2 linked regions of the Nothobranchius furzeri genome follow. The protein of the gene in region 2 interacts with the protein of the main gene of each other region in a biochemical or structural test. Links are inferred from orthologs where the notes say so. Each region holds a gene or a part of one and is shown on either strand. Other genes may lie near its edges.

Region 1 (3,657 bases), on a different chromosome or scaffold from region 2:
TTTAAGGCTTGTTTGAAAATAAACTAGCCATTCATTCATCATGACCCTCACTGGTAAAGCTCCTTTCAGAGTTATGGGACTCCAAAGCGCATTACACTACAATGTATCATTCACACACGCGTGCGCGCGCACACACACACACACACACACACACACACACACACACACACACACACACACACACACACACACACACACACACACACACACACACACACACATTGATGGTAATGTGAGCTGCATTGTAGCCACAGCTGCCCTGGGGTGCACTGACAGAGGTGAGGCTGACGAGCACAAGTGCCACCGATCCCTCCAACCACCATCAGCAGGCAATGCGGGTTACATATCTTGCCCATGGACACAACAGCAGCATTCTCTGCTGGGGTCTGGGATCGATCCTACAAACCAACAATTAGCTGTACATCCTGAGCTACTGCTGCTGACTAATGTTAGTCAACCTGACAAAGACCAAAATCCAGAGAAGTAAAGAGTTGGCCCCCAAACTCTCTAGATACCAGTCCAATGGAAGCATCTGTAGAAACCAAGCCCAACTCGCAACCTCTTCCCCTTAGATTCACAGGGTTCAAAAGATGTCTGATATCCAGGTTTTCAACACTTATTTCCTTTGTGCATGGTATAATGGGTCTGTGTTGGTGTTTTGTTTAATTTACTCACTGCAGTTAAGTTCATCAGATCCATCCCTGCAGTCTTGCAGTCCATTGCAGTGCTGAGAGTTACTGTAACAGGCCCCGTTAGCACAGGTCTTCTCGGTGCACTGTGGATAATCTGTAGGAAACAAGCTTACTCCAGCTATTAAATAGTTGCAATTTCAGAAAAACCTTAACTGATTTGAAAGCAAAACATCGGATACTAAACTATTATGATGCATCACAGACAGAATAAGAATCTTACTGCAGTTCCTCTCATCGGAGTTGTCCACACAGTCCATCATGTGGTCACATCTGTAACTAAGAGAGATACACTGGCCTTCCTGGCAGGTGAACTGGTTTGGGCTGCAGGTTCGTCCACCTGAAACATGTAACGTCCAAAAGGGTCAATTTTCACCTATATATTAACCAACATAATAACCTTTCATCTACAGAAATAAATCCACTTTCTGTTTGGCCTTCCAAAACCAGAAGGTTCTGCTCATTGCGTGTTTCCATAAAGTAGATAAAACACCCAGACAAACATTCTCTCCCAAGGTTCCTGCACTCACTGCATGAAAGCCAGACATCAACATTCTTCACTCTGAATAAATGAAGACTCCATGATTTTAAAACTCATAAACTTACAATAATCATATGTGATGAATGAACAAGATGTTTAAAGGGACTTTACGGAGTTTTGAATTTTTATGCTCGCGATTGCCCCTTCAGGCCAAAAGCATAACGGCAGCTTCAATAGTAGTCTCGTGCACGAGGCGGCATGCTGTTCGTGCACACTCCTTAATCAAAATAAGAGCTGAGACAGTCCCTTGTGTGTGTGTGTGTGTGTGTGTGTGTGTGTGTGTGTGTGTGTGTGTGTGTGTGTGTGTGTGTGTGTGTGTGTGTGTGTGTGTGTGTGTGTGTGTTTGTGTGTGTGTGTGTGTGTGTGCGTGTGTGTGTGTGTGTGGCCCAGAGGACAGAGGGCAGGAGAACGTGCAGCTAATTAATTAAATAATTTGGTTCTGTATGCTTCATACACAGCCGACAAAGGTTTAAGATGGGTCAGTCCTGCATGTTCAGATCATTCCCTTCCCTTGCTTGAAAAATTGTTCCAAAATAAAATTTGAACCCACATCTTTTTTATCTGTGAATTCAATGCCGTTCGGCGAGTCTCAAATAAAAATTTGGGCATCTTACTGTAAAAAAAATCGACCATTAATGTAAAAAAGAAACTCTAAATAAACTATGTTCACATCCAGAATCAAACCTGGATCTTCTGCACGACAGTCCGACATCTTACTGGGTGAGCTAAACTGCTAGTAATGTCCTTTGTATCTGTAACATTTATATCCTTTATGACAGCTGAAACAATGTTCAAAGAACGATTCGGAGCGAAAATGGCTATTTTGTTGCTAATTTGTAGGAAATATCTTGAAGAAAGTTCTACAGAAAGTAGCTAAGAGTCCTCAGAAATGTAGCTAGCTTTGTCACTAGGCGTTAGGAACAGCGACAAAGACTAAAGCTACTGATAGCAAATGCTACGGGCTATGCCTGAGCGTGAACGCGCATGAAGCAGCCTGCTCGACCTGAGCAGCTCTCTTTTTCTGTGATTTTACAGAAAAACAGGCAATCACAATAAAAATGCCAGGGCTCATTCTACAGGACCAGGGCATTGCAGGAGAATGTATGAAGAAGACATTTATTATTTCCATACATGTTTTGGCTGTCAAACTTCCATAATGCCCCTTTAAATGAAATGTTTGAAAAATCTGTGCTTAAATCAATGAATTTGAAATGAATATTTTTCTTACAATGATCCATTTACATCACAAATCACTATGTGTTTGATTTAACAAGTTAATCATTGTTTACACTCATACACATTACAGTAAGATACATATTAAGGTTAATATTCACCTCACATAAGAGTTTTAAAGATTCTTATTCACAGTGTTAAGAAATCTTTGTATCTGAAGAAGGGCGTGGCTTTCTGAGGGATGTTGGTAAATATGTCACACAGTGGAATGTGTGCTTTATGTTGCTTTAAATTATTTTAATAATTGTTGGAATTTCTTAACAGTTTTGTGTTATTGCATGATTTTGTTGTGTGTTGTTGGTTTTATGTGCATGTTTAGTTTAGATTGTTTTGCCACTGTTGACATGACAGTCACCTGAAGAGGTGGGCATGACTGTGAAAGCGCACCAAGTGTGCATAGTTAGCAGGCTGATAAAGGAAGGAAGCTGCAGAACTGCAGGAAGGAAAAAGAGACCAAAGAAACAAGAAGGCAGAGGGACTGGACTAATATAAGAGGACGTAGCACAGAACGGGTTGGATCGTGGGAGGAGCAGTTCATCCTTGGCGTGCAGCGACAACGAGTGGGAGCAACGCCTTTGAATGACAGCAGGGTGGAGGTAGGACCTCTGCCTGCATCCGTGAGTAGACGGCTTCCACTGTTGTATGTTGGGTGATGCTCCGAATGGGCCGATCCTACGGGAGGAGAAAGAGATTGCACTGCTTCACAGACAAAGGTTCTGCCCCAGTGATCTGTCCTTGTCAGGGAGGAGCGGCGAGAGCCCCCGGGAGATCACGCCTGAGACGAGCGCCTGATGAGAGCGAGACCAGAGACTGCTGGAGTCGGACGCCGAAGCCGGGACGTCGCCTTTCCCTTCCTGGAAATTCCCTCCGCGTGACTTTGTGGATCTCGGAGGAGCCCAAGTATCTTTGGGGGTTTTCTTGAAGAACAGGTTTTAATTGCTTTTATGGACTCAAACTTTTTTTTAGTTATATACTTTTAGACGGGGGCTTTATTTAGTTAATAAAAGAGGTCGCAGACAAACTTCTGCTCTCTTGTGTCTGTGTCCCTCTGGTTTTGCACCCTCGCTCTCCACCTGTGTCATTGTGAATCCCTGGTGTGGCGCCTGAGCTCTGCAGCTCCAGTGTTGCCTAGGTTACAAATACTCAGAAATGTGTCAAATTCTGATTGGCCAAACTCGGCCAAAACTCATAACA
Region 2 (3,757 bases):
CATATTTGGGTCCTAAACATCCCCGAAACGTGACAAGTTTCTCAATATGCGTACTTGTGAAACGTCACTGAAAATGGCATCATCATCAACACTGGCCCAAGTATTGTTCCAATCTACCATGGCAAGTTCCCTCAAGATTGCGTCAACGCAACCTTCTGCAGACTTGGGCCTGCAAGGACAGTGGCTTGTAATTCATCATGCTTAGGATTACAAACCGTTGTACCTCAAACTGAAAATGGCATAGGAGAAAGCTCGTAGCTCTAGAGTATTCATGTCAAAAATACAAATAATGAAGTCTAGAAAAATAAATTAAAAGTTGTTTCTTATTGTAGATAATTGTCCATCCATCCATTCATTATCTGTACCCGCTTGTCCACGCAGGGTCACGGGGGGCTAGTGCCTATCTCCAGCAGTCTACGGGTATAAAAGCGGGTACACCCTGCACAGATTGCCAGTCCATCGCAGGGCAACACAGAGACACACAGGATAAACAATTAACCATGCAAACATTCACACCTAAGGACACTTTAGAGACACCAGTCAACCTGAACGTCATGTTTTTGGACTGTGGGAGGAAGTGGGAGTACCTGGACAGAACCTGTGCATGCACAGCGAGAACATGCAAACTCCATGCAGAAAGACCCCAGGTTGGAATGTAAACCTAACGCTAACAACTGTGTAGCCCACCATAGATAACTGTGCGTGTAACCCATACATTTGCTGTGTGGGTTTTATAATACCTCAAAATGAAACTTAGCTCATCCACTATTAAAATAAAACCAACGTAGCTTTAAACAGCTCTGTTTGATGAAAAAGTAACATATTTTTCTTCAACATGCCGTGACGTAATGGAGTACGGTTCAGATCCAAATGCCGTCCTTGTACCCCCGTATTCGTTAGAACGGACTTTCTCCTGTACTTATCAAGAACGCACTTGTCAGTTACTCAAGAACATGCTAGCATAAACATCCCAGTTTTTACGTTGTGGACTTAAAGAATGCTTGTGACTGCACACCTCACTTCCAGTTGTTACTGCTAGGCGTTCTGGAAGATCACTGTTGGTCCATGAAACCCAAATGGTCCCTGAACATCGATGATGTGGACATTACCATCTTCCTGTGGAGAAGAGTGAGTTCAGATTCATCTGAGCAGCTCATCAGTGCCGAGGAGAATCACGGCTCCTCTGCATCAGCGTGAGCCAGCTGAGATCATTGGCACATCTGCTAAGGATGTCCTCTGGGTACCTGTTTCCAGCATGACCCACCAGGAGGAGGCCTCCAAACAGATTTAGTAGGAATGGAGTAGTTAGATTTCCTAGCTGGTGTGGGAATGCTTTGGTTTTCCCTCGGTAGGGCTGGAAGAGGTCGCTGGGGAAATGGGGGGAGGTGTAGGGATCTCTGCTAAGGCTGCAGTCTCTGCAACCTGGTTACATATAAGACCATGGATGGATGAGTGCTTCAGTCCTTCCTCTGTCTCGCTCACCTCAGAAAACGTCTTCCACCAAACCTTAGAATTTAAAAGTTTTAGCAGGACAGCTCAGAGTGTTATCATCCCAACAAACCATCCTGTTAAGATTCTCGTGGGAATTCTGCAAAAGCAGGACAGACATCAATGTTGGACCAGTTTTCTGTAGGAATCTACTTTTTCCCCTTCGGGAGAGACTAGACTGGCTCCAATAATGGCCAAAACTTTGTAGTCGTTCAGGATCTTCGAGGAGGATCAGCAGCATGAGTCTGATAAATGAAGACGTGTGAAGGAGGATCTGCACAGAGAATAAAATGATATGGATGCACAGAAGTGTCAGAAATCTGCATGTTGAATATTTATGAAACAAGTTCCCTCTTATGTAACAGACACTTTTCTATGGGCTCTTTATTTCTGACATTGTTTCAGCGCAGGAGCAAAAGAAAGAGGCAGCGATGATAACATACTACGGAGGGTTGATTCACTGTCTCTACGTCTCCTCTCCTTGTCCCTCCCTCACTCATCGGCAGCAGCCAACATATTTTTATGAGTCACGGTCGGAGCAGACCGCTCGTCCCGTCTTTTCAGCCTCTTGCCTTTAATATCAAGATATATCCAACAGCAACAACTCTGGCTTCCAGGAAAACTCTCGCTCCTCGTCTGGTACGACACGTCCCTCCCTCCTCTTGTCTCGCCCTCCCTCTCTTTTTATTTCCTCTTCCCCTTCCCCAGCCTCGCACCCCCCCCCCTCTCTCTCTTTCTTTCTTTCTTTCTTTCTCCCCATCCCTCCCCTCCTTTACTGCGGGTGTCTGGGAGGCTGTTTTTCCTCTGTCTCTTGCTCATGAAGGGCCGCACTAAGCTCCCTTCTCTCTGCCCATGTGTGGTAGGTAAATTCACCTCTGTGTTTGTGACGTTCTTCTCTTTTCCATCTCTCTGTTGCTGCCTCTGATTTGCATGTTAGCTCAGAGTCTGCAGGCTTGAGGGGAGCTCCGTGTCTACATGTGTGTATATTGCATCGAACATGCTCGTCATCACGCTCGTCATGGAGAAATCACAAACATGTGAATGGGGATTTGGTCATTCCTTCATGTGCATTTTCCACGTATGAACACGGCCTGACACATGTACCGGTGGATCAGGGAGCATGTTCTGAAATGCGTAGGGAGGAAAACTCCAGCAGACTTGTTGATTAAAACATTGTTTGTTCCATTTAACGGCAGGTTATGCCGTAGCTTTCTTTTGTGAATTAATCACGTTGGTGTGCATTTCCATCCTACAGACCCCAGTCAGGGCCAGGTATAAAACTGTTGTGGCAGGAATTTGATATATGATTGGTGTTTATGTGCGGAAGGTGTTATGTTGCCTGTGTAAGCCTGAGAGGGTTGGTTTTAATGGGGAAGCAGAAGTCAGCACAACACCGGATGTGAAATGAGGGTTTAGGGACCGTCCACAAACTGCAGCATTAATATTCAGCAACATCTATGTCCCATCACTGAACCCTTATTAGATGTTTACGAATCGTGTTTGTGTTTCCGTCTGATGTCGTTGCATTAGTTTAAACGTTTGCTGAAGCTTCATCTTTGGTTTTTGATGTGGCTCCTGTGGACGTTAAGCTCAGAGAATGGTTTGTTTTGATTCAAATTAGACTGAGTGTAGAAGGAAGGTGACATTATTGAATTTCTTTAAGAGTTATTGGTACCATTATCTAACCTGGACCGTCCCTCCCTGCAGGAATACTCCTCAGTTTTGTCCCTTTGCCGGGTTTCTGCTGTTGCCACGTTGTTCTGTTGTGTCATGGGTGATTCTGCAGGTTGAGTGCTTTGCAGTCTTGTTTCTGATTTTATTGTATTTCTGGTACTTCCTGTTTTATTTTGTGCATTCACTTCCTGTCTCATTACAGGCAGCTTCACGACATGAGGCTCCTCACTAATCAGCCTCATGTCTTGCACCTGGGTCCTGGCTTCTCCATTTAAGCGTCTTTGCAACAGTTTCCTTTGCCAGTTTGTCTTCTCCTGTTGTGTGATGTGAACCTGCTCTCAGAAACACTTGGTAAAAGTGTATTCAGTTAGATTTGGACTTTTCAGTTGTGTTGTACTCCAGGAATCCCTTCTGCTTATTAAAACTGGGTGAGCTCTGCATTTGAGTCCTCTTTGTGCTTTGATATGTTGCTTCTTTGTGGTCATTACCTTCATTGGGGAGATTTTGGTTTTCCTCTTCAGAGTTTTTGATTCAAACAAAAAAAAAATGCAGCATTAAAAGCTTTTAAACAACTCTGTTTCCAGCTAGATTACAA

Evidence for each region.
Region 1: the proteins of disks large homolog 4 (region 2) and lrp2b form a complex in vitro, tested with the Homo sapiens proteins (2 studies listed by BioGRID and IntAct, with this or other methods). The link is inferred for Nothobranchius furzeri from reciprocal best matches to the Homo sapiens genes DLG4 and LRP2.

The regions. Positions count from the first base shown.
Region 1 is NC_091756.1:35,640,689-35,644,345, forward strand, and holds part of lrp2b (low-density lipoprotein receptor-related protein 2), read right to left. Parts: intron 1,030-3,657; coding exon 913-1,029; intron 787-912; coding exon 676-786; intron 1-675. UniProt on the Homo sapiens protein: Multiligand endocytic receptor. Acts together with CUBN to mediate endocytosis of high-density lipoproteins. Mediates receptor-mediated uptake of polybasic drugs such as aprotinin, aminoglycosides and polymyxin B.
Region 2 is NC_091750.1:46,442,166-46,445,922, forward strand, and holds the start of disks large homolog 4, read left to right. Parts: upstream 1-1,149; 5' UTR 1,150-2,010; coding exon 2,011-2,127; intron 2,128-2,218; exon of another isoform or gene 2,219-2,305; coding exon of another isoform or gene 2,306-2,347; intron 2,348-3,757. UniProt on the Homo sapiens protein: Postsynaptic scaffolding protein that plays a critical role in synaptogenesis and synaptic plasticity by providing a platform for the postsynaptic clustering of crucial synaptic proteins.